2 linked regions of the Sus scrofa genome follow. The protein of the gene in region 1 purifies or fractionates together with the protein of each later gene. This does not show direct contact. Links are inferred from orthologs where the notes say so. Each region holds a gene or a part of one and is shown in the gene's direction. Other genes may lie near its edges. The genes, in order: SOST and LRP5.

Evidence for each region.
Region 2: the proteins of SOST (region 1) and LRP5 purify together in Homo sapiens (affinity purification with mass spectrometry; 3 studies listed by BioGRID and IntAct, counting the BioPlex papers as one, with this or other methods). This does not show direct contact. The link is inferred for Sus scrofa from reciprocal best matches to the Homo sapiens genes SOST and LRP5.

The regions. Positions count from the first base shown.
Region 1 is NC_010454.4:19,348,412-19,360,542, forward strand, and holds SOST (sclerostin), read left to right. Parts: upstream 1-6,500; 5' UTR 6,501-6,869; coding exon 6,870-7,086; intron 7,087-10,036; coding exon 10,037-10,458; 3' UTR 10,459-11,937; downstream 11,938-12,131. UniProt on the Homo sapiens protein: Negative regulator of bone growth that acts through inhibition of Wnt signaling and bone formation.
Region 2 is NC_010444.4:4,549,741-4,561,288, reverse strand, and holds part of LRP5 (low-density lipoprotein receptor-related protein 5), read left to right. Parts: intron 1-3,595; coding exon 3,596-3,804; intron 3,805-5,243; coding exon 5,244-5,434; intron 5,435-6,013; coding exon 6,014-6,223; intron 6,224-9,485; coding exon 9,486-9,611; intron 9,612-11,548. UniProt on the Homo sapiens protein: Acts as a coreceptor with members of the frizzled family of seven-transmembrane spanning receptors to transduce signal by Wnt proteins.

The DNA.
Region 1 (12,131 bases):
ACCCAGTCCATTTGCCCAAGGGCTAGTTAGCTTTGGGGACTAAGGCCAACAGTTCAAGCGGTGGTGTCGTGGCGGGGGCTGGTGGGGGTGGGGAATGGGCTCTGGTCCAGGAAAAGGATCCCGGTTGGGTTAGAATGTGTGGCTCTTCTTCTAGGAGACGTGAAGCACCCCTAAGTCAGAGCTTTCTGCTCCACTCTGGAAGAGGCATCAGAGCTGGGGCTGCCCCCCAACACCCCCAGGCCCAGGTGGTGGTCACCGCACAGAACAGCCACAGGTACCTGGGCTAACTGACCAAGACGTCCTGCAGGCCTCTTTAGGGGGGCATGTCGGAGAAAAAGCCATGGGGAGAATTACTGCCTTCACTTTGGGGCTACTTTTATGCTGATAACGTGATAGTCTCAGTCCCAGAAACCCCATATTTACTTCACGAGATGTAGCTCCTAGTTCTTTGAGTAACACAAAATCCAATTAATTCTATTGTGTAAGAGCCAACACATGCCCAGCGGAGTGGAGAGCTGTTCTGGAAGCTCTCTATCCCTGGGAAGTGATGGAGTAGGAACTCAGGGTGCCTCTACCCCCTCCTCTGACTGGACCCCTTCCTGTGACTAGCAGACCCCAGTCTAGACCAGCTTAGAGCCCCAAATGGTTTTCTTCTCAGTTCTAAAGCAGTACACCGTCCACAGGCTGCTTTGTTTCCCTGCCACTCTGAGTTAGCTGGAGAGCAGAAATCACCATCTGTCAAACAAGGGGACTCAACCTGAAGACCTCTAAGGTCCCTTTTGGCTCTGATACCACAGGGTCCTCTATGAATCCCCATTGACCTTGACCCCCACCTGGAAATTATAGGGCGTGTAACCATATGTTGACCAGCAGGTGGCGCTGTGTCCCACCCTTGGTGATGGATGCTTGGCGAAAGGAATGTTGGTGCCTTTTGTATCACAAGTTAAGACGCTAATGTTTTAATCGACTTAAGCACTGATCTTAAAATATGAAGCTGTTAGCTTTTCTCGTAGGAAATTTTCTGTCATAAAACCGGCATCAAGAATCACTGAAGAGCCAACGATGATGGTCCTTCCAAGTCAAGATTTTATCCTGACTGGAAAGAGAGGCCATCTCCGGTTGAGAGGGCCGATTGGTTGGAAGCTTAATTTACCTCCTGTCAGCTTTTAGGGTAATTCGATTGTGAAAGTGTGAATTTTCTGGACAGAAAAAGGGAAGGTATTAAATTGATTTTAAAAACAAAAGTAAGTTTAATGTCTGTTATATCACAAGTCAGTGTTAAAACACTAAAACTGTAACCAAAATAAATGTCTTACATTACAGAGAAATGGTCTTTTGTGTCCTCCTCATTGTAGTTGATTTTCTTTTACTGTTCATGCTTAGCTTTTATGTTTGCTTTTCTTAACTTTTAAAAATAATCATCATCTGAAAACTAGCCTGCCTAAGCTAGTTATAGGTCCTGTCATGGTTATATTTATGCAGTAAATATTTGCTGAAATCTCTCCAGTACCAGAAATTCCCTGTTAGGAAAAAATCTTTTTATATATTTAATTTTTTAAATGTCAGGTTTATTGCACTATCACACACATCTGACTAGCATCCATGAGGACGCAGTTTCGATCCCCGGCCTCTCTCGGTGGGTTAAGGATCCAGGGTTGCCATAAGCTGTGGTGTGGGCCAGCCGCTACAGCTCTGATTTGACCCCTAACCTGGGAACCTCCATATGCCATGGGTTCGGCCCTTAAAAAAAAAAAAAAAAAAGGAAAGCAAAAAAATAAAAACAGAACTGGGAATGTGTTTTTAAGTGTAACTAAAAAAACATTTTCATTTAAAAGGTACTACTGTATATACATAGTAATAAATTCAAACAATACAAAAGGCTTGGAACAAAAAGTCAATCTCCTACCCCAAACCTTCATGCCTCTTTCCTAGAAGAAGCCACTACCAAGTATGTCCTTTTAGAAACGTGCCATGCACGTGTAGGTGCACACAATCCGTGTGTGTGTAGAGATGACCTTTCCCCTGTAACGGAAAATGTTCTCGAACTTTTCCTTGTCTTGCTTGACAATATATTGTACTCGCTGTTTCTTCTGGTTCCATTCATTGTAGCAACCACATAGCATCCATTGTCTACAGAGGTAGAGTGACTTCTGCATACTCTTTGTAAGCGGGCATCTGGAAGTTTCCAGGCTAGGAGTCTAATCGGAGCTGCCCGCCTATGCCCCAGCCACAGCAACGCCAGATCCAAATCGTGTCTGCGAGCTACACCACAGCTCACAGGTACTAGTTGGGTTTATTACCATTGAGCCACAACAGGAACTCCCTGTACACTCTTATTTTAAAGGTCCAGGCTGCTTTAAGGACCCCACCTGTAAAATGAGACTCAGGAATGATAATCACAGTGTTTTAACAGTTTGGTATCCAGGTAATTTTTGGCGTCTGCTCGGGGTGGTACAGTGTCAAGGATATCCCAACATTCAGAGCTAACCAAGGAGGGGTGTCTGCTGCTCCCTTGCGTAATTTTATGGTTGTGGACATGCCTGAGTCTAGCTGTGAAAAAGACAGTCTCTGACCTATATAGTCTGCTGAATTGCCAACCCATTTATAAGAAGTTGGGGAGTTCCCATTGTGGCTCTGTAGGTTAAGAACCTGACATAGTGTCCCCGAGGATGTGGGTTCCATCCCTGGTCTCACTCAGTGGGTTAAGGATCTGGTGTTGCCAAGAGGTGCGGCATAGGTCATAGATGCAGCTCTGATCCCATGTTGCCGTGGCTGTGCGTTGCCATGGAGGCCCGCAGCTGCAACTCCAATTCTGATTCAGCCCTCCCTGGGAACTTCCATATGCTGAAGGTGTAGCCCTTAAAAAAAAAAAAAAAAAAAAAAAAAGAATCCTCAGTTTCCATGAATGAGAGATGGGGGGCTTGGGAGCCAAGTGGAGAGTGAAGCAAACTTACCCCTGAGGTCTCTTTCAAACACTCTACAGTCCCGAGTCCCGGGAGCATAACTTACTTTCCAAATTTGGCATGTTCTTCAGAGTCTGGTCCAAATGCCACATCTTCCCAGATCCACCCCAAGGGTGTTCTCTTCTCTAAAGGCCCATAATAGGACTTGCCACTGTGGCTCAGTGGCGATGAACCTAACTGGTATCCATGAGGGTGAGGGTTCCATCCCTGACCTCGCTCAGTAGGTTAAGGATCCGGCGTCACTGTGAGCTGTAGTGTAGGTCACAGATGCGGCTTGGATCCCAAGTTGCCTGGCTGTGGTGTAGGTCGGCAGCCATAGCTCTGATTCGACCCCTAGCTTGGGAACTTCCATATGTTGCAGGTGTGGCCCTAGAAAGCAAATAATAATATTAATTAATTAATTAGAAAATAAAAGGCCCATTACACTTTGTTCTTTTATTTTTTCTTAATTTTTCAATTTTTTGTCTTTTTAGGGCTGCACCCTCAGCATCTGGAGGTTTCCAGGCTAGGGGTCGAATCAGAGCTGTAGCCACTGGCCTACACCACAGCTACAGCAATGCCAGATCCAAGCTGTGCCTGAGAGCTACACCACAGCTCATGGCAACGCCGGATCCTTAACCCACTGAGCAAGGCCAGGGATCGAACCTACATCTTCATGGATACTAGTCAGGTTTGTTTCCGCTGAGTCTCGACGGGAACTCCCAATTGAAATTGTTTTAACAGCCCAAGCTTGGCATTGGCAGCCTTGCGGAGAAACATGCTATTATGTGTTGAATTGTGTTCCTCCAAAATTTATATGTTGAGGAGTTCTCACTGTGGCTCAGCGGGTTAAGAACCCAACTAGTATCCATGAGGATGTGGGTTTGATCCCTGGCCTCGCTCAGAGGGTTGAGGATCTGGTATTGCTGTGGCTGTGGTAGTTCCCTAGCTTGGGAACAACCATACGCCTCAGGTGTGGCTCTAAAAAAAAAAAAAGGGAAAAAGAAAACAATATTCATCTATTATTCCAAGTACCTCAGAACATGACCTTATTTGAAAGTAGGGTTGTTGCAGGTGTTGAGATGAGGTCATCAGGGTGGGCGCTAATCCAACGTGACTGACGTCCTTATAAAAACGGGGAAATTAGGAGTTCCCATTGTGGCGCAGGGGAAACGATCCTGACTAGGATCCATGAGGATGAGGGTTCGATCCCTGGCCTCGCTTAGTGGGTTAAGGATCCAGCATTGCTGTGAGCTGTGGTGAAGGCCAGTGGCTACAGCTCCAATTCTATCCCTAGCCTGGGAACTTCCATATGCCCCAGGTGCGGCCCTAAGAAGAAAGGAAAAAAAAAAAAAAAAGCAAGGAGAGGTCATCTCTGCGGTCACAAAATTGTTCTTTGTTTTGGCTGTGATGGTGGTTACTTGAACCAACCCACACGATAAAGTTGCATAAAACTAAACACACACACACACACGTACAAATAAAACTGGGGAAATCTAAGACCAGTGCATTGGGTCGATGTCAGAACCCTGGGTTTTGCAAGATGATACGAGAAAACTAGGCAAAGGGAATAGGAAATTTTCTCTGTATTATTTCGTACAAGTGCACGTGATACGATGACCACAAAATAAAAGGTTCAATTCAAAAAACGACTTTGTCCAAGGATGTTCACAGCATCCCTATGGAGGATAGGGGAGCCCCCTAAACTACCCACAACAGAAATAAAACCCTGGGAGTCTAATTCCAGGGAGTATTGTCTAGCTCTGAACATTGCCACGTTTGCGGACTGAATAAATATAAAGCTGAATTAGTGTTAAGGGGAAAAGCAGATGGCATCATAGTAAATTCTCTCTGAGACATTCTATGGAAAGCGTGACCATTACCTTGGCAGAGAGTAATTCTAAAGGATGGAGATAAGTTAGAAGTTCAAGTCCACTGGATTCTTCTTTTTCTTCTTCCTCTTCCCCTTCCTCTCCTTCGTCTTCTTCTTCTTTTCCTTCTCCCTCCCCTGTGCTCTCCCTAAACATTACTTCAGTTTCAAATAAAATAAATGAAATCCTGAGCCCTGCCGTCCTCTGGTCGCTGGCTCTTCCTCCCATCTCCAGCAGGTGGCAGACGTGTTCCAAGGATGGTCCCCACCGAGTCCCTTTCCTGTGGATGAGCCGCAGATCCCAACAGCAGGTGGGGCTCCAGCATCATTCTCACCAGCTCAAAGACTCCAGACAGCGGAACTGCCCTCTCCGAAGTCCAGGGCAAGAAGACAGTTGTCTGGCCGCAACAGGGTTAATGGCTCACATTCCAGAGCAAGGAAAAAGGAGGCTGGAGGGTCACAGACAAGGGGAGGGGGCTCGCAGGGCCCCCTTTCTCACAACACAGGCCAGCTCTGCTGGGAGAGATAGATCACCCCCAACAATGGCCACAGCTGTTTTCGTCTGCCCTGAAGGAAACTGACTTAGGAAGCAGGTATCAGAGAAGGCCCTTCCTGTAGGGGCTTCTGTCTGGCTTGTAAAACTGTCAGAGCAGCTGCATTCATGTGTCGAGTGATGGATGATGGAAAGGAGGGACAGACGGCCGCAGATGGACACAGCGACTTACAAGTCGAGGCAGGTGGCAGAGGCGTTGCCGAGGCTCTGCAGGTGGGGTGCGCTGATTCATTGCCCAGTGAAAATACCAAGGGGACCTGGGCCACGGCCCTCTTCCCAGCCTCCTCCAGGGCCGGGAGGGGCTGTGCCGCCTCAGACAATACATCTGCAATGAAAGCTTCCGCCGCCGGCCCTCCTTCATTTTCCTGCACCTCAGGTGTGAACCTGCCTCCCCCCGGGCCTTTCTTTCTTCTCCAGGGCCTAGGGAGCAATTCCTTTTGGGTTCTCTGTGGCTGGCTGGACCTGGGGTGGCTTCACGGAATGTTCCCTGTACTCTGCACCGATAAGGTTTTCCATAATGGCCTCAGAGCTCGCTTTGAAAAATGTAAGGGGCTGGGAGACAAGAAAAAGAACGTTAGCACTAAAAATGCTGGCTTTCGCTTTTGCTAAGAAAAGGAATTTTCTGCTCTCTGCTCCTTCCCACAGCCTGGCCCAGGGAAATAACTGCCTTTGGCACATTAGCCCGCCAAGACGCGCCTGTCACCAAATGCAGGATTTCTGAGAAGCATGAGCTAAGGTTTCCTCCTTGTCTCCATCACCAGGGCCTGCTGACTGTGCATCCTGGCCTTGAACCCAGAACCCCTGCTCCCTCCACCAAGCGGGAGCGCTGGCTGTGGCCTTCTGGTTTTCCCTCTTCCCTTCCAGAGGACACGAGTGGCGCTTTCTTGGTCTGGATAATTGATGCCGAGCTGCATGGAGTTGAGGGCCAAGGAGGTTTCTTAAAAAGCATCCTCCTGCGTCTGCCGGGATCTGGGGCAGGGGAAGGGGGTGGGGGGAGGGACAGATACTCGTAGACCCCCGAGACAAATGAACTTGGTCTGAGACATGGGATCAGCTGGGCTGAGACCTATGGAGGACGCAGAGCTGCCGTTTTCTTTGTTAAACTGGTCCAGGTTGGTTTTGAGAAAGCCCGAGGGGCCCAGAGAGGTGGAGGCGAGGAGCTGGAGCTCCTTCTGATATCTGAAAACCACAGGCGCCTGCGCGTGGGAGGGAGACACGGAGAGCAGGCTCGTCTGGCCCGCCCCCTCGCTGTGGGTCACCTGGGAGCACCAGCCGCACTTTGGGGAGATTTCTGAGCCCGAGGAGAAGTCTTTGGGGGAGGGCCTGCTCTGAGCACACCCCGTTCCCTCCCCCTGGGCTGAGGGAAGCATGGGACCAGCCCTGCCCCAGCCTGTCCTCATTGGCTGGCACGAGGCAGAGGGGGCTTTAAAAAGGCAAACGTGGCCAGGCTGGGGACCAGAGCCTGTGCTACTGGACGGCCCGGTGCCCTCCTCCGGCTGGCACCATGCAGCTCTCGCTCACCCTGTGTCTCGTCTGCCTGCTGGTACACGCAGCCTTCCGCATGGTAGAGGGCCAGGGGTGGCAGGCCTTCAAGAACGATGCCACGGAAATCATCCCTGAGCTGAGCGAGTACCCGGAGCCTCTGCCAGAGCCGAACAACAAGACCATGAACCGGGCAGAGAACGGAGGGAGGCCTCCCCACCACCCCTTCGAGACCAAAGGTATGGGGCGGAACATTTGTAGCATAAGGGTCCTGGGAGGGTTCTCTTTGGGTGGGTTTTTTTTTTTGTAATTTTATTGGCGTGTAGTTGACTTACAGGGTTGTGTCAGTTTCAGGTGTGCAGCGAAGTGATTCAATCATACATATACACGCATCTATTCTTTTTCCTTGTCCCATATAGGTTATTAGAGAATAGTGAGCAGAGTTCCGTGTGTTAAACCGTAGGTCCTCTTTGGTTACCTATGTTCTAGCTTTGATGGGGGTCGAAGACCAGGGTTGACACGCTGGGGTACACTGGGAGCCACTGTCAGCACCAGCGGAGGGACAGTCCTACCTGGAAGTAGGGGAAGGATGGCATGCCAGCGTAGCCTTGGATTTCAAGTGCCAGGGTGTGGGACGGGCAGGGGACTGGCAGTGAGAGCCCAGAGCAGGAAGGGGGCTGAGGTGGTGAGGGTACAGCCTGGGGACAGGCTCAGGGGCTCAGAAAGGAGACTCCAAACACTCCTCTCCTGAGAAGAGGGGAACCAGGGTCCAGCTGCTGACGCCACTGGAGAGGGGACAAGGCAGGGGAGCCTCACGTCTATGAGCACCTGCTGGATGCAGACACCATTTGGGCTGCACCCGAAATGTACCCCCGGAGAACTCCCAAGGTGAAGGTGAAGAAACGGAGGCTTCAGAGATTAAGTGGTTTGTCAGCAAGCAGAGAACTGAGATTTGAAGCCACTTGGATCCCGTTACAAGTCAGCCCTGGCAGGGGGTGGGGTGGGGTGGGGTGTCAGGGCCAAAAGCAGGAGCAAATCTCCACCAAGTGGTGGGAGATACCAGAGCGGCATCCTTCCAGCTCCCACCACCCCTGGTCTAGCCAGTGAGCTGGCACCAGAAGGCATGGGAGCTGCAAGCACAGTTTTAGCTTCTGACCTGGGGGGCAGCTGGGTCCAGGCCCTGGACGGGAGGCAGCATCCTCTGTGCAGGGCGTGGACACAGGTGGCCCCATCTGTCCTAAAACCTCACCCCAGACCCGGCCTTGCTTCCGCCCTGGGAGGGAGGCTGACCCTGGTAGAAAGGCAGTGACCCCAGCAGAGGGCGCACCTGGGTTCCTGGTCAGGTCCACACGGAGAAGCCTGGGGGGCAGTGTGCACAGCTGGCCCTGCAGCAGGTGGGAACTGCTGGGGGCAGGGGCCAGGATGGCACTTCAGAGTGAGGCCCTCTGGCCATGGTCCAGGTGAGAGAGGGAGTCCCCCTTGCCCAGGCTCCAGCATTCTGCCCTGCTTCACCACCAGCGGGGACTGGGGGCTCTGCACAGGGCACCCCCAGATAAGGCTGGTGGAACCACCCATCTTTAAAGGGGGTGGGTAGGAGTGCCTCTCCTCTGCTCCTGCCCAGGGAAGGTCAACTAAGCTCAAGTGATGGGCTCGAGTACAAGACGCCACCTCCCTGGGCTCCTATGAGAGCCACTGGCCCAGAGGAAGCCTCGTGCTCAAAACAAAGTCACCCTTTGCAGAGGAAGAGCCTGACCTAGGGGTACTATTCTTGGAAAGCCCCACAGCCTCCTTCCCTGGGCAAGGAGGCCGCCCCCACACACCACCCCTGCGGCTTGGGAGCAGGGATCAAGATGCCAAACCCGCCCAGAAACCAGAAGGCCAGCCACGGGAGGAGGGCAGCCCCCACGTCTCTCCTGCTGTGCTTCTTCTCCCAGGGCTGCGGCCCTGGCCTTCTCCGCCTCCTCTCTGGTTTTGGTCTTAGGACTATTTTTCATTGCTTTGTGTCACATTGGAACTGTCCCTATGAGACCCTTGGAGATGAGCAGGTGCTCACATGAGGACCAGCCGTGTAAAAAAGCTCCCAGGGGTCTAAGCCCACAGTGGGAGACACAGTCAAGGTGTCTCAGGGGGATCAAGCCAGGCCTTAGAGCCCAACCTTCCCCCAAGCAGGGGGCAAGCCTGTGTCACCATCAGGTGTCCATCAAATGTACCCCCCCCCACCCACACACACAAAGATGGGCCTGGCAGAGTGCCTGGTACACAGCAGGTGCCTAATACATGTTTGCGGCAGCTGCAGCTGTAGGTTTCCAATCAGAGCTTGGTCTGTCTCTGATAGGGAGGTAAAGGCAGTCAAAAAAATCAGCCCTTTGTCCCCTGACCGTCAGCCTAGCCTTCCATGGGCTCCAGCAAACGCCCTTGTGGGAGCTGAGAAATACTGAGGCCCCAGGGGCGCAGAGCCGGGAGACGAGCTGTGCCTTTTGGGCAAGTGCTTTCCCCACTCTGGGCCTCAGTGACCACGGCCGTCATGAGGGGCCGGGCAGGCCGCCCTTGCTCCTTTCCCGTCTGATGACTTCAGACTCGGCTGCACCTCCCCTTCCATCTCTCTTCTCAGCGGCTGCCCTGATTTAGTACCTTCAATCAGCCCCGCTCCTTCCTCCATCCCCTCTGCCAGCCCTCCCAGCCAGAAGAGGAATCTGGGAGAAGCCAAAGCCATTCAGAGAGTGAGGCCAGGGACCCTGTGGCACAGATGTGACTTACCTCTGGCCAAGAGGGCCCCCTGGAGAGGAATAATAATAACATACAAGAGCCAACACTTCTAGCACTTACTGTGTGTTAGGCGGTGTCCCCTGAAATACATACATAATGGATTCATTCACGGAATCCTCAAGACCAGCCATTTTACAGATAGGAAGCACAGAGAGGTTAAGTAACTTGCCCAAGGTCACACAGTGGTGGAGCCCATATTTGACCTTGAAGCAGTCACCTGACCCCAAAGTTTTAGGGGGACAGGGTGGGCCAGAGAGCTTTCCCCCAGCTCCAGAGTACCCGGGCCCTTCGCGCATAACAGATCCCCAGGGGCCAAAGCGTCCAGGGAGAGGGCAGGTTTGGAAATGGCGAGGGTGGCTTGGAGGGAGCCCGGCGGGTGGCCCGACTGGGCAGCCGCCCTGACGCGCGCGCCTCTCTCCGCAGACGCCTCCGAGTACAGCTGCCGCGAGCTGCACTTCACCCGCTACGTGACGGACGGGCCGTGCCGCAGCGCCAAGCCGGTCACCGAGCTGGTGTGCTCGGGCCAGTGCGGCCCCGCGCGCCTGCTGCCCAACGCCATCGGCCGCGGCAAGTGGTGGCGCCCCAGCGGGCCCGACTTCCGCTGCATCCCCGACCGCTACCGCGCGCAGCGGGTGCAGCTGCTGTGTCCCGGAGGCGCGGCGCCGCGCGCGCGCAAGGTGCGCCTGGTGGCCTCGTGCAAGTGCAAGCGCCTCACTCGCTTCCACAACCAGTCCGAGCTCAAGGACTTCGGGCCCGAGGCCGCGCGGCCGCAAAAGGGCCGGAAGCTGCGGCCCCGCGCCCGGGGCGCCAAAGCCAACCAGGCGGAGCTGGAGAACGCCTATTAGAGCCAGTGGCGCCGCGCCCCGCACCCAGGCGCCCCAGGTTTCCGCCCCCCTGCGCGCGGTTTGAGCGTTTGTATTTCATTTTAAGTGCCTGCAACCCAGGGCCGGAGGTTGAGACCTTCCTGGCTGCAGCGGGAGGGAGCCAGGCCCTGTGGATCCCAGGTGTCAGCAAAGCCCCCCCTCTTCTCTCCCTCCTAGGGGGTCCCGGGGCAGGGGAGGAAACTGAGTCACAGACACTGAGCCACGTAGCCCCGCCCACCGGGGCCGCCTACCTTTGCAGGTCCCACTTCGGAGGAGGCAGGAAAGAAAGCGTTTCACTGCCCTGGGGATTTAAGGGAGCAGTAGGGAGTGAGAAGAGTCCAGGGACTGGTTAAGAAAGTTCGATAAGATCCACCCCACCCCCCCAGCTCTCTGCCAGTCAGAAAGCCTTTAGTGCCGTGTTGTGCCCAGGACTGACTTGCCGGGTGACCTCTGGTTACGCTCTTCTCTTCCCGGACCTCGATTTCCTCTTTATAAAATGGAGATGGAGTGAGATTAGCATCTGGAAGAATCTACTGTCCTATGAGTCCCTTTGAATGGGCAGAGGAGAGAGAGCTTGGATTGAATCACTGATATTGTCGCTTCCAGCATTTGGAGTTGTAATCCTCTGATCTGACAGCCAAAGATGAAAAACAAGCAGGAAAAAAGAAAGGAGTCTATTTCTGGCTGACTAACTCGGGGAAGAAGCTGTGGTGTGTCCTAGGCTGCTCTCCCCAGATGTTTGGCTACCCCCACCCCTCCATCTCAAAGGACCCAGAAACAACAGCATCAAATGGGGTAGAGAAGACGGTCCCAAGGGTGGTGGGAGGCACAGAAATCGCCCCCTGTTCCCAAAGAGCAGCCTGCCACCCCATGGCCATGTTTTGTCATCACTTTCTGCAGAGAGGAGAGCTCAAGGACCCATACCCTGGGCTTGCCACCGCCCGTTCAAACACCAGCAGGTCCCTTCCGAGGTACCTCCTCCTGCCTCCCACCCACGGAAACATTTCTGGCTGGAAAAGAGCTTCTTACTGCTGTTACGTGGGATGGCATATCTTATATTAAAATAATATCATTGGGGAAAAAATGACAAGTGCTGTATATATGCTGAGAAACCGCAAAGCTTCATAGCTGCCATCCAAAAATCTTTTTGGAAAATCATTTCCAGACACCACTTACTTTCTGTGCAGTTTTCATTGTTACAAAAAAAAAAATTTTTTTTCAGCAGAAGCACGTGCCATGTGAAAGCCTACCCAGCTGGTTGTTTTTGCCATCTTTTCATGTGGGATTTGTCCCCAAGAATGAACATCACAGTTTTTAAAGAAGAGTTAAGTTACCTATTTATTTTCTCACTTAAGTTATTTATGCCAAAGTTTTCCTTGTAGAGAAGGACAACATAAATATTGCTTTATGAAATACCCGTCTGTTCTTTCAAAACCCAGAGGCATTGTTAATAAAGACCATGAAGTGACACGGAGAGGATGTGATCTTGTTTTGTCAACCACATGTGGTCATTCTTGTCACCGTTAACATCTTTCTCTTGGTCCCTGGCGCTTAAACCTTGGAGGCCCCCTTTGACAGGGTTATGGTAGCCCTTGTAGCAATTATGTCCTTCCTTTGAGAGGTCAAGTTCCGTCCCTTCCTTTCCAAACCCAGAC
Region 2 (11,548 bases), on another chromosome or scaffold:
GCTGTCACCTCTGTAGGAGCAGAGCCTGGTGGATTCCTTTCATCCCACTCTGAGCGCAGGTGACTGTCACTCTGAGGCCTTTGGAGGAACGGGATGTGTTAATTGCCGGACCGAGGCTTCCCTGCTGGGAACGTTGCTGGGCGCAAATTGCCTGAACGTCTGTCGTCTGTCTCTCGGAGAGGCGGAGAGGCGTTCTCCTGCGTCCTCTTATGGTGTCTGGCAAAGTCGGGGAGACTTTGAAGAAAAAGCCCCTTTAGGGGCACTTAATTTGGGAAACATTCATTTCCATCCCTGCCTCTCTTGTTAGAACTCCATCCTCTGGGGGCCTTAATTCTTTATGGGGGTCACCACCCGGCCCCCAGGCATGATGGTCTTGACTCTATAACTATTTGGCTGTTGTTTTTTTTACTTCATTGTTTATTCTTTTGTGGTGGAATATACATGACATAAAATTTACCATTTTAAACCTTTTTTTTTTTTTTTTTTGGCTACATCTGTGGCAGGCAGAAGTTTCCCCCCCAGCCAGGGATTGAACCTACGCCATGGCAGTGACCTGGGCCACTGCAGTGACAATGCCAGATCCTTAATCTGCTGAACCACAATGGGAACTTCCATTTTAAACGTTCTTTTTTTTTTTTTAAGGGGTGAACCTGCAGCATATGGAAGTTCCCACGCTGGGGGTCTAATGGGAGCTACAGCTGCCAACCTATGCCACAGCCACAGCAATGCCAGATCCGAGCCGTGTCTGTGAGCTCATGGCAGTACCGGATCCTTAACCCACTGAGCAAAGCCAGGGATCGAACCCACAACCTCACGGTTCCTAGTCGGCTACATTTCTGCTGCGCCACAACGAGAACTCCCATTTGAAACATTCTTTAAGCGAGCAGCTCAGTGACGTTAAGTCCATGCATATTGTGGCGCCACCATCAGCTCCATCCAGATGAAACTCTGTGCCCATTTAACACGAACTCTCAGAGTTCCCGCTGTGGTGCCACGGGATCGGCAGTGTCTCTGGAGCGCTGGGATGCAGGTTCAGTCTCCCGGCCTGGCATGGTGGGTTCCGGATCTGGCGTTGCCGCAACTGCAGCTTGAACCTGATCGCTGGTCCAGGAATTCCATCTGCCTCGGGGTGGCCTAAAAAAAGAAAAGAACAAAGCAAAACAAAAACCACTAACCCTCCCTTCCCCCCGCCACCCCCACACCGGTCCCTGGCACCTGCCGTCCTCCTTGCTGTTTCTGTGAGTTTGACAGCTCTACGTACGTCATTTAAGCAGAATCACACAGTATTTATCTTTTTGTAACTGGCTTATTTCACTTCCTCTAATGTCCTCAAGGTTCGTTGGCACCATAGCACGTGGCAGAATTTGCTTTTCCGAGCAAAGGAGGCCACAGCAGGCTCATGCGCTGAAGACCGCACCCTCTTTGGAGAGAGGAGGAGGTGGTTTTGAATCTGACAGCGCTAACGGCCTGAACGCAGCCAGAACACAGACTGGAATGTGAACCCACCTGCCGGGAGTCAAACCCAGCCTAGAACCAGATTGGGACAAACCCACGGTTTTTGTCTTTTCTTTTTAAGGCTGCACTTGCGGCACGTGGAGGTTTCCAGGCTAGGGGTCGAATCAGAAGCTGTAGCCATCAGCCTACACCACAGCCACGCCAGACCCAAGCCGCATATGTGACCTACACCACAGCTCACAGCAAGGCTGGATCCTTAACCCACTGAGCACGGCCAGGGATCGACCCCGTGTCCTCAGGGGTGCTAGTCAGATTCGTTCCCACTGTGCCACGATGGGACCTCCCAAACCCACAGTTTTAAATTAAAATCACTCACCCGGTGTCTGGACTCACTGAGGTTCAGGGTCTTTATGTCTTTGCGCAAAGGGATTCAGCGAGAGACAAAGCCACACGCAAGAAAGAGATTTATGAGGATGGGATGCTTGGACGAGAAGCAGGCGGGCAGGCGCGGAGGCGCTGCTGAATTTGCTTCCTCTTTAAGACCAACACATGGTGTCTGTGCAGCACGCGTTTTGCTGGTCCATCGACCTCAGCGGTGGCTTGGGCTGTGCCCTCCTTTGGGCTGGAGGGAGTCTGCAGCCGCAGGCTCGCCCACAGGCTAAGTGCCGCTTTGCACTGGCGAGGGGGAAGGGTGTTGAGCGTGCTGATGGAGAGGGTTCTGCCCCGGTTCGGCCCTGGCCGGAGGCCTGTTCCTTGTGTCAGAAGCGGGGTCTGGCTTCTCTGAAGCCGGCCCAGCACGTGCAGTCTGTCTCCCGGTTTCTCTGCCTGGCAGGGCGGGGGCGGTGTGTGGCTCCCCTGGGCACGTTTGTCAGCTGGTTGTTCTGATGACTCTGTGCCCAGCTGCCCCGTTACCCGCCCTGCAGTCCCGCGTCCGGCCAGGGCGAGCTGCAGTCTTGCTTTCCGCCCAGCCCGTTGGCCGCCCTGGGCTGTGGTCCGTGACTCCAGGGCTGTGCCTGCTTAGAGCTGACGTGTGGCTCCTTGGGGCTGCGCACGTCGGTACGTGCAGAGATGCGGGTGACACTTCCAGCTGCCCAGTGGGGCTGGACCAGAGGCCGCTGTGGGCGGGGGCTGGAGGGGGCTGTTCCTCTCCAGATGGGTCCAGGAGGCTGGGCCTGGGGAAGGGGGCTGCTCTTTGGCTGCCAGCCCCCTCTTACCCCCGGGAGATGCCTGGTATCACCTGCTGGAGCGAGGTGTAAGTGGAGAGTCTGCTCTGACCCCAGCCTCACCCTGAGAGGCTCCCTCCTCAGAGCAGGGAGCTCTTCACCAGGCCATTGGCGGCGGTGGCCCAGCAGCTTGGGAAGCCCTTGGCACCAGGTCAGGCCACGGGGACCCCAGGGGACCAGATCCACCGGGGAATCAGGCCCAGGCCTGTGAGGAGAGGAAGCTCTGGGCTCTCCTGCTGCATCAGCTCATGAAACAAGGTCCCCTGCGAAGGGGACTCTGCCAGTGGCTCCGGAAGCCGGGCTCATCCCTGCGAGGGCGGATGGCCAGGAGTCAGGCTGCGCCCCTGGGGGACCCGCAGGAAGGTGGCGAGGACTGGCCTGAGAGGGGCGCGCTGGCCCTGGGCTCCCAGGATGTGCTGTGGGCAGTCCCCACCCTCGCCAGGCCTCCTCCCCGTGGCCTCTCTCCCTCCGGGAAGAGACTTGTATGAAGTGGCCCTCTGTGTGGCACCTGCTGTTCTAAAGCCTCAGCTTAAGTAACAGTAACATTCGAGTCTTAATCCCAAAGCCTGAGTCCACGGAAGCAAGGAGAGGGAAGGTGTCTTGAGCTGGGGCCCATGAACCTGGGCTGACGGCTCAGCGGGCAGGCGGGCCCCTGTGCTGCAGGGACAGGCCGGTCTGGGTCGGGTGGCGGCCAGCCCGGCCCAGTGCAGTCCCTGATGGCTGAGCCTGGGGTCCGAGCTGACGGGCGGGAGCTGTCCTAGGAGTCAGTGTCGCTCCCACATGGCCGTTTGGGCAAGAGCCGGTTTGAAAGGACAGGTGCCCCGTGGGGGGCTGACCTTTGGTCTGAACGCGGCCATCGAGGGCTCTGCCCTCCCTGTGGTGTCCTTAGCTGGTGCTCGTGTCCCCCTGTTCTGCAGCCCTTCGTTCTGACCTCTCCGGGCCAAAGCCAGAGCCCAGACAGGCAGCCCCACGACCTCAGCATCGACGTCTACGGCCGGACACTGTTCTGGACGTGCGAGGCCACCAACACCATCAACGTCCACCGGCTGAACGGGGACGCCATGGGCGTGGTGCTCCGGGGGGACCGAGACAAGCCGAGGGCCATCGTCGTCAACGCCGAGCGAGGGTACGGGGCCGAAGGGGTGGGTGGGCACCGCAGGGTGGGGTCTGCACTGGCTGGGGGGGTGCCCGGCGTCCGTCCCGTGAGCGGCAGCCTCTCGAGCCAGGAGGGCTCTCCCACCCGACGTGCCCGTCCGCCAGGATCTCCCCCGGGTTCCCGCCACAGCAGCTGGGCGGGTCGAGGAAACACTGACTCTTCCCCAGTCTTGGCGGGGAGTCAGAGACCCCGGGATGGCCTTGACTGAAAGCCTCTGCAGGGGCCCGGGCTTTGCTGAGAAACACAGGAAGGTTGTAAGTCCTCGTTCATGGGTTTCGTACCATCCCATCAAACTTGAACCCTGTACAACCACCCCTTCCAGGCGGTGGTGGACTATTTACTTGCATATGTCCCACCGCGGGGAGGTCACTACCTAACTGGGAGCTCCTTCCTTCTCTGAAGCTCCCTGCTGCTCCCACCGTCAGCCCTCGGGTGCCCTGGTAGGCAAGAGAGCGCCCGGGACACTTTGATGGATGCCGAGGCTCCCAAAGGGGAAGACCAGGATGGGAGGGGACCCAAAGCCACATGACATGGGGTTCAGAAATAAAGCCAGTCACAGGAAGGTTTGGGGACAGGAGCAGGAGCACGGTGGCCACCTCAGGTACCCGCAGAGCTGACACTCAAGGCTGGAATCAGACCCGTCCAGGCACTGCATCAGCTCTACAGAGCCGAGTTCAAATCCTGGCCCCATCACTTACTGCCTGAGTGACCTCAGGCAGGTGACAAACCTCCCAGGGGCTCATTTTCCATGTGAAGACAGTGGTAGAGCCAGCCCCACAGCACACGAGGGCCCAGTCATTTAAGGGGGCTCTTCAGCAACCAAAGCATGGGAGCGAGGACTGGTGCCTGGGGCCGCCGCCACAAGTGACTGCAAACCGGGGATTTAAAACAGCAGGTGTTTGTTCCCTTGTGGTTCTGGGGACTGCAGTCAAGTGTGGGCGAGGCCGTGCTCCCACCTGAGTCTCCAAGGAGGAAGCTTCCTGCCCTCGGCTTCTGGGGCCCCAGCCGCTGCTTGGCCTGGGCTCGGGGCCGCATCCTCTGAGCCTCCGTCTTCACGTCAGCTTCTGTGTATGTGTGGCTGCTCCTCTCTCTCTCTCGAAGCCACTGTCACTGGTTGAGGGCCCCATCGTAACCTGGGGTGGGGCCTCACCTTGTCCTAAATCACACCTGCACAGACCTGGTTTCCACATAAGGTCGCGTTCTGAGGCTCCGGGTAGATGCAAGGTTGTGTGGGACACTCTGCAACCCCTCCAGGGTGTGACTTTTTCAGCTCCGGGGCCCTGAGAGGCTGGGGCCATGTGATGGGTGACGGAGCCCCGCTGGGTGCCCCCAGGGCTGGGGGCAGGTCTGTCCGGGGCTTTGCGCGGAGCTCCGTCCGCAGCAGCATCCCTCACCCGCCCCTCCCGCAGGTACCTGTACTTCACCAACATGCAGGACCGGGCGGCCAAGATCGAGCGTGCCGCCCTGGATGGCACCGAGCGTGAGGTCCTCTTCACCACGGGCCTCATCCGCCCCGTGGCCCTCGTGGTGGACAACGCGCTGGGCAAGCTCTTTTGGGTGGACGCAGACCTGAAACGCATCGAGAGCTGCGACCTGTCAGGTACACGCCCTGGGGCCTCCCCGGGGATCCGTCCCTCGGCAGCCACCAGGTCTGACCCACCAGGGCCCTCCTGGTCGTCAGTCACAGGGTGGCAGCGGGGCCCGTGCTGGGGCTTTACCACGCATAGTCCCCCCCGTGCGTTCCAGGTCCCAGATGATCCCCTGGGCTCAGAGAGGCTGAGCCAGCTGCCCAGGGCCCCACAGCGTGGGGTAGAGGAGGAATCCTACCCTCTGCCTCTCGTGCCTGTTCTCGCAGCTGCTCTGGTGTGGAGGCCCCTGGGCTGGAGAGGCGTGAGAGTCAGTGCTTGGAGGGGCTTTTCCTCCAGAAGTTGGGGGGGAGGGGGCTGAGGGGAGGGAAGCACCCTGTTTTCAGGGGGCTAGTGACTGCGCCCCAGATTTGGGTTATGGCCCTGGCCCCGAGGCCAGCCCAGGTGGGAGCAGGAACATCCGAGGAGGGACCTCACATCTGCCTGATTCCAGGGACTGTGTCCCAGCCCCAGCCCCCCCCGTCCTCCCAAGTCAAGGGAGGGCCGAGCTCTCGGAGTCAGCTGCCACTCAGGGCACGCCGTCCCTCCTGCAGGGGCCAACCGCCTGACCCTGGAGGACGCCAACATCGTGCAGCCCGTGGGCCTGACTGTGCTGGGCAAGCACCTCTACTGGATTGACCGCCAGCAGCAGATGATCGAGCGCGTGGACAAGACCACGGGGGACTCGCGGACACGGGTGCAGGGCCGTGTCGCCCACCTGACCGGCATTCACGCCGTGGAGGACATCAGCGTGGAGGAGTTCTGTACGTGGGGGGCGGCAGCAGGCGGCGGTGTGTGCAGGGTCCCCGGGGAGGGTGGGCGCCTGCACGGAGCACATCGCCCCCCGACCTGGTCCCCTTGGAGAAAGACAGGAGGTTGAGCCAACGCGAGAGTTGTAGGATTGAGGCCCTGTTTGCGTTCTGGCTTTCAGCCAGGTCCACTCTCAGTTCCCAGAGGCCACCCTCAGGCTCTCACCGTGTGCTCCCCGCCCTCAGCAACAGAGCAAACCCCTCTGGCTTCCTTTTCTACCACCTGGAACCCGCCCTGCGTTCCAAGGGCCAGAGATTAGATTCCGGCCAGTTTTCAGATTAGCTTCCCTTTGACTGATTAGTAACCTTAATTACATCTCTCAACGCCTCTTGCCAAGGAAGGTAACAAAACCCCAGACACGATAGCTCATCCCAGCTGGGGAGTAGGGTGGGAACTTCGGGGGTCATTGTAGGAGTCTGCACTGTGCCCACGTGCCTGGGGGAGGGTGGGTGTCCCCCAGGGACCTCTGGTCCCTCCACCCCCTCTGTATACGGCCATACATGTGTTTAGAGGCAGGTGGGCATACATGTATGTCTGTCCCTCTGTCTTCTTGCTTTTCTCTCCTCGTTCCGTAAATACACCTGGGCTGCCAGCTGGGTGAACAGGGCCTTTGCTGTCCTTGTCCTGTGATACCCACTGTCTGGCCGCCTTCAAGGCCCGGGGGGCTGCCCCCCATCCCAGCCCAGCCCGTCACCTTGGCCTCCCACCTCGGCCACACCCCCGAGGTTTTGACTGTTCTGCACGCCAGGCCCTGTGCCCAGTATATTATGACGTTATGTGTGTTATTTCACAATAATTCTTTTACGGTTGAGGGAGGCAGGGCTCAGAAAGGGTGTGACGCCACCCTGTCACCCAGCCAGTAAACACGATGGGGCTTGGATGTGAGGCCAGAGCCCATGTTTTAGGCACTGGGCTTTTTTCTGGGCTCCCTGCTCAGAACTGGAGTCAGGACCTCTAATGCTGTGAGTCTGTCACCCCTGGGTTGACTGCTAGAGGGTGCTTTCTGCCCCGTGGGTGCTCAGCTGGGTCCCAGGTAAGAGAAATCACTGGACGACCAGCTTCCAGGGAACCGGGGCCCGCTGTGCCTGTGGGTTAGACGCCTGCGTTTACCTGCCCCTCACACCATCCTCAGCAAAGTCCTGGATTCCTGTGTGTCCCTGGCAGATGGTCAAAACAGAGATGCTGGTCCCACAAATGCTGAGACCACTGCCTGCTGGTGTCGCTGAAAGCCAGGCAGCTGCGCAGAAGCTCCTTGGAACTGAGGGGGCAGGGGGGCCAGGAGACATTCAGGGAGCAGGTTTGAGGCTGGAAACCGGGGATGTGTCCCCGAGCACGAATGTGCAGGGACTAGGGTGACAGAGAGAGGCTCTGTTTGGGGCAAGGGCGGGAAAGCCTTAGGATGTGTGTCACCCGGCCTGCTGCCCTGCAAGATCCCACAACTGGACTCTGGACCAGGGTGGACAGTCGGTGTGTGTGTCACCCTGGCTGCCTTTGCGAGGCAGCTGGCTGACTTGTGGAGTCGTGACAGGTGGCCTGGCTCGTGAAGCCAAAGTTACTTTCCGATTCTTTATGGAAAATGTTTGCTGGCCCTACTCTAAACGATGACTCTGCCATTTTCCATTTATTTATTCATTTATTTATTTTGGCTTTTCAAGGCCGTAACTGCAGCATATGGAGGTTCCCAGGCTAGGGGTCTAATCTGAGCTGCAGCTGCCTGCCTACGCCACAGCCACAGCAACACCGGACCCTTAACCCACTGAGCAAGGCCCGGGATTGAGCCTGCATCCTCCTGCATACGAGTTGGGTTCCTTACCACTGAGCCACAGTGGGAACTCCAGATTCCTCCATTTAAAACACCTAGTTGTCAAGGTTGAGGGGGAGTTTGACAACACTGATTTGTCTCTGGGGGTGGGAGCGAGGGGCAGAGTCATTTCCTCCCACCTGAGGGAGGTCAGCCCCCCTCCCAGGCTCCTAAACATTGTCCAGGTGTTGGGCACGTGAGGTTTAATTGAATTAAAATATTCAAGTTCCCAGGGGTTCAGCATCCTTGTTATCTTAGTTCTTGTGTGTAGTAGTCTTCTGCAGTTCCCGTAACAAATCACCACAAACGGGGTGACTTAAAGTAACACGAACATGTTCTCTTACTGTCTGGAGTTCAAGGTCCAGGTGTCTGCAGACTGGGCTCCCTCTGGAGGTTGGGGTGGCTGCGGGGGGGGGGTTCTTTGCGCCTCCCACTTCCTGTGGTTACAGGTGTTCCCTGTGTCTGCATCATTTCAATATCTGCCTCTGTCTGCACATGGCCTTCTCCTCTGTCTCCACTTCTTGTGTCATCTCTCTTTTTTTTTTTTTTTTTTGGCCATACACAAGGCATGCAGAAGCTCCCTGGCCAGGGACCAAACCCATGCCAGAGCAGGGACCCACGCCACAGCAGTGGCAATGCAGGATCCTTAACTCCTGTCATCTCCTATAAGGACATGTGTCAGTGAATTTAGAGCCCACCCAGGAGTTCCCATCATAGCTCAGTGGTTAACGAATCTCACTAGGAACCACGATGTTGTGGGTTCGATCCCTGGGCTTGCTCAGTGGGCTAAGGATCCAGCGTTGCCATGAGCTGTGGTGTAGGTTGCAGACGCGGCTCGGATCCCACATTGCTGTGGCTCTGGCATAGGCTGGTGGCTACAGCTCCGATTAGACCCCTAGCCTGGGAACCTCCATGTGCAGTGGGAGCGGCCCTAAAATAGACAAAAAAAAAAAAAAAAATCCAGAGCCCACCCGGATAATTCAGAAAAGACCCCTCTCAAGATCCTTAGCATCGTTATATTTGCAAAGACTCTTTCCAAATGAGGTCTCATGCGCAGATTCCAGGCAGTAGGATGTGGACATAGCTTTGGAGACCACTACACCGCAAGAGACAGACACCTAGGTAGGCAGCATAGAGTGACAGTTGTGGGCTCAGTGGAAGCTGGCACAGATGAGCTGGGCTGTGACGCTGGGAAAGTTCTCTAAGTGCTTTTGGCCTCCATTTCTTCATCTGCAAAAGGCAGTGTCAGTAGAAACAGGCTACATGGGCTGCCCTGAAAATAAAGTGGGAGGATCTCCTACACTCTTACAGGAGTACCAGTTCTTATGAGTTCTTGCCTGGCCCCCATCCCCTCCATCCTTTGGGCCATAGTCCTGAGATAGGAACCCAACCCTCTCCCTTTTTTCTCTCCACAGCAGCCCACCCTTGTGCCCGGGACAATGGCGGCTGTTCCCACATCTGCATCGCCAAGGGTGATGGAACCCCACGGTGCTCATGCCCAGTCCACCTTGTGCTCCTGCAGAACCTATTGACTTGTGGTGGTAGGTGTGACCTCAGCACTTTCTTTTGGGACACTGAGCAGGGACCTGATTCCTCTGCCTGTGAGGTTGCTGCCAGGCACCTTTTAGATATATATTCCTGGTAGCATACAGTTTCCAAATCAGACTGTCTCTTTGTTTGTCCTCTTTCCTAATATAGGTATATCAGGGCTATGAATTTCCCTCTAAGCACTCCTTTTGCTGCATCCCACAAATTTGGATAAATTATATTTTCATTTTGCTTTTTTTGTCTTTTTGCCATTTCTTGAGCCATTTCCACAGCATATGGAGATTCTCAGGCTAGGGCTCTATTCAGAGCTGTAGCCACCGGCCTACGCCAGAGCCACAGCAACGTGGGATCCAAGTCGAGTCTGCAACCTACACCATAGCTCATGGCAACGCTGGATCCTTAACCCACTGAGCAAGGCCAGGGATCGAACCCGCAACCTCATGGTTCCTAGTGGGATTCATTAACCACTGAGCCACGACGGGAACGCCTATATTTTCATTTTGAGTTAATTCAAATATTTTAAAATTTTTCTCAAGATAATTTTTTGGCCCTCGTGTTATTTAGAGATATGTCATGTGATTTCCAAAGAGTTGGAAACTTTCTAGCCATCTTGCTTCTAGTTTAATTCCGTTGTGATCTGAGCACCTGCTTTGTATGATTTTCATCCTTTTAACTTTGTTCAGGTAATGTTCTATGCCTCAGCATGCTCCACTTTGGGGAATATTCCATGTGAGCTTGAGAAGAACGTGTCCTCTCTTATTGGGCGGCGTGTTCTGTAAATGTCAGTCAGATTCAGTGCTGTTCAGGTTAGCTATATCTTTCCTGACTGTGCTGTCAGTTACCAGTAGTGAATTTTTTTTTTTTAAGTAGTTCTGTCTTTTCACTTCCTTTTACCCTTGGTTCTCTTCTTCCCTAAGGATGCATGCAAAGTGGTCAGGACTGTGAGCTTGGACCTGGCACAGCAGGTTAAGGATCTGGCATTGAAGCAGCTGTGGCACAGGTTGCAGCTGTGGCACAGACTTGATCCCTGGCCCAGGAAATTCCACATGCTGCGAGTACAGCTTAAAAAAAAAAAGAAAAAAAAAGTCTAAGCTTTAGGGTTAGACAGATGTGGGTTCACATCCCAGCTTTGCCACTTCCCAGCTGAGGGACCCTGGGCTGGTTTCTTGCCTCTCTGAGCCTCCACTTCCTTCTCTGTGAAACAGAGAAATTGAGAGCACTCACCTGATGGGGCTGTTATCATTTCACGGGGTACTTCGCGTGGTCCCTGACACTTGGCCCGTGAGAATGCCAGCTGCTGTTAGTTGTGAGGATGTCAGAAGCAATAAAAAGGGGATGAAACTCAATCCCCGGGGGCTTCCTCTCTTCCTCCTGGTCCCCCGGTGACCTTGGATGTGTCGTTTCTCTTATCCCCTCCTCTGCTGAGCTCCTGAGGGAGTCCCTGTCCCTTCTGTCCTCATCCTCACCCCCAGGACCACACTGTGCCTCCCCCCCCACAGCAAATGCTTAGCACATGTCGGAGAGCAGGACCACAGGCCTATCCTTCTGGAACTTTCTACTGCCCCACCTCACACCATGAACCCCAGAGAGCTTAGCCAAGAACAGAAGGGACATTTTATGACTGTCCCCTGATGGGGCCACCTTGACCCTCCTGAGCTTCCTGGTGGCGTCGTTCTGAGTTCCAGCCTGGGGACTCACGTGGCTTTGTGGCCTGAGAATGACGATGCAGCTTCCGCAGATGTCCAGGCTGCCCTGGAGAAGAGGGGCCGGGGAGAGAGCTGCACAGAGCACTCGGCTCCCCCTCGGACCCTGGCCCTGGGCCTCTCCACAGGGGGACGCGGCCCTCTGTCACCTGCTCCCCAGGCTTTGGCCCTCAGACTCTACTGTGTCCCCATCTTCATCTTCCCTGGACTCTCTTCTGGGGCCTCAC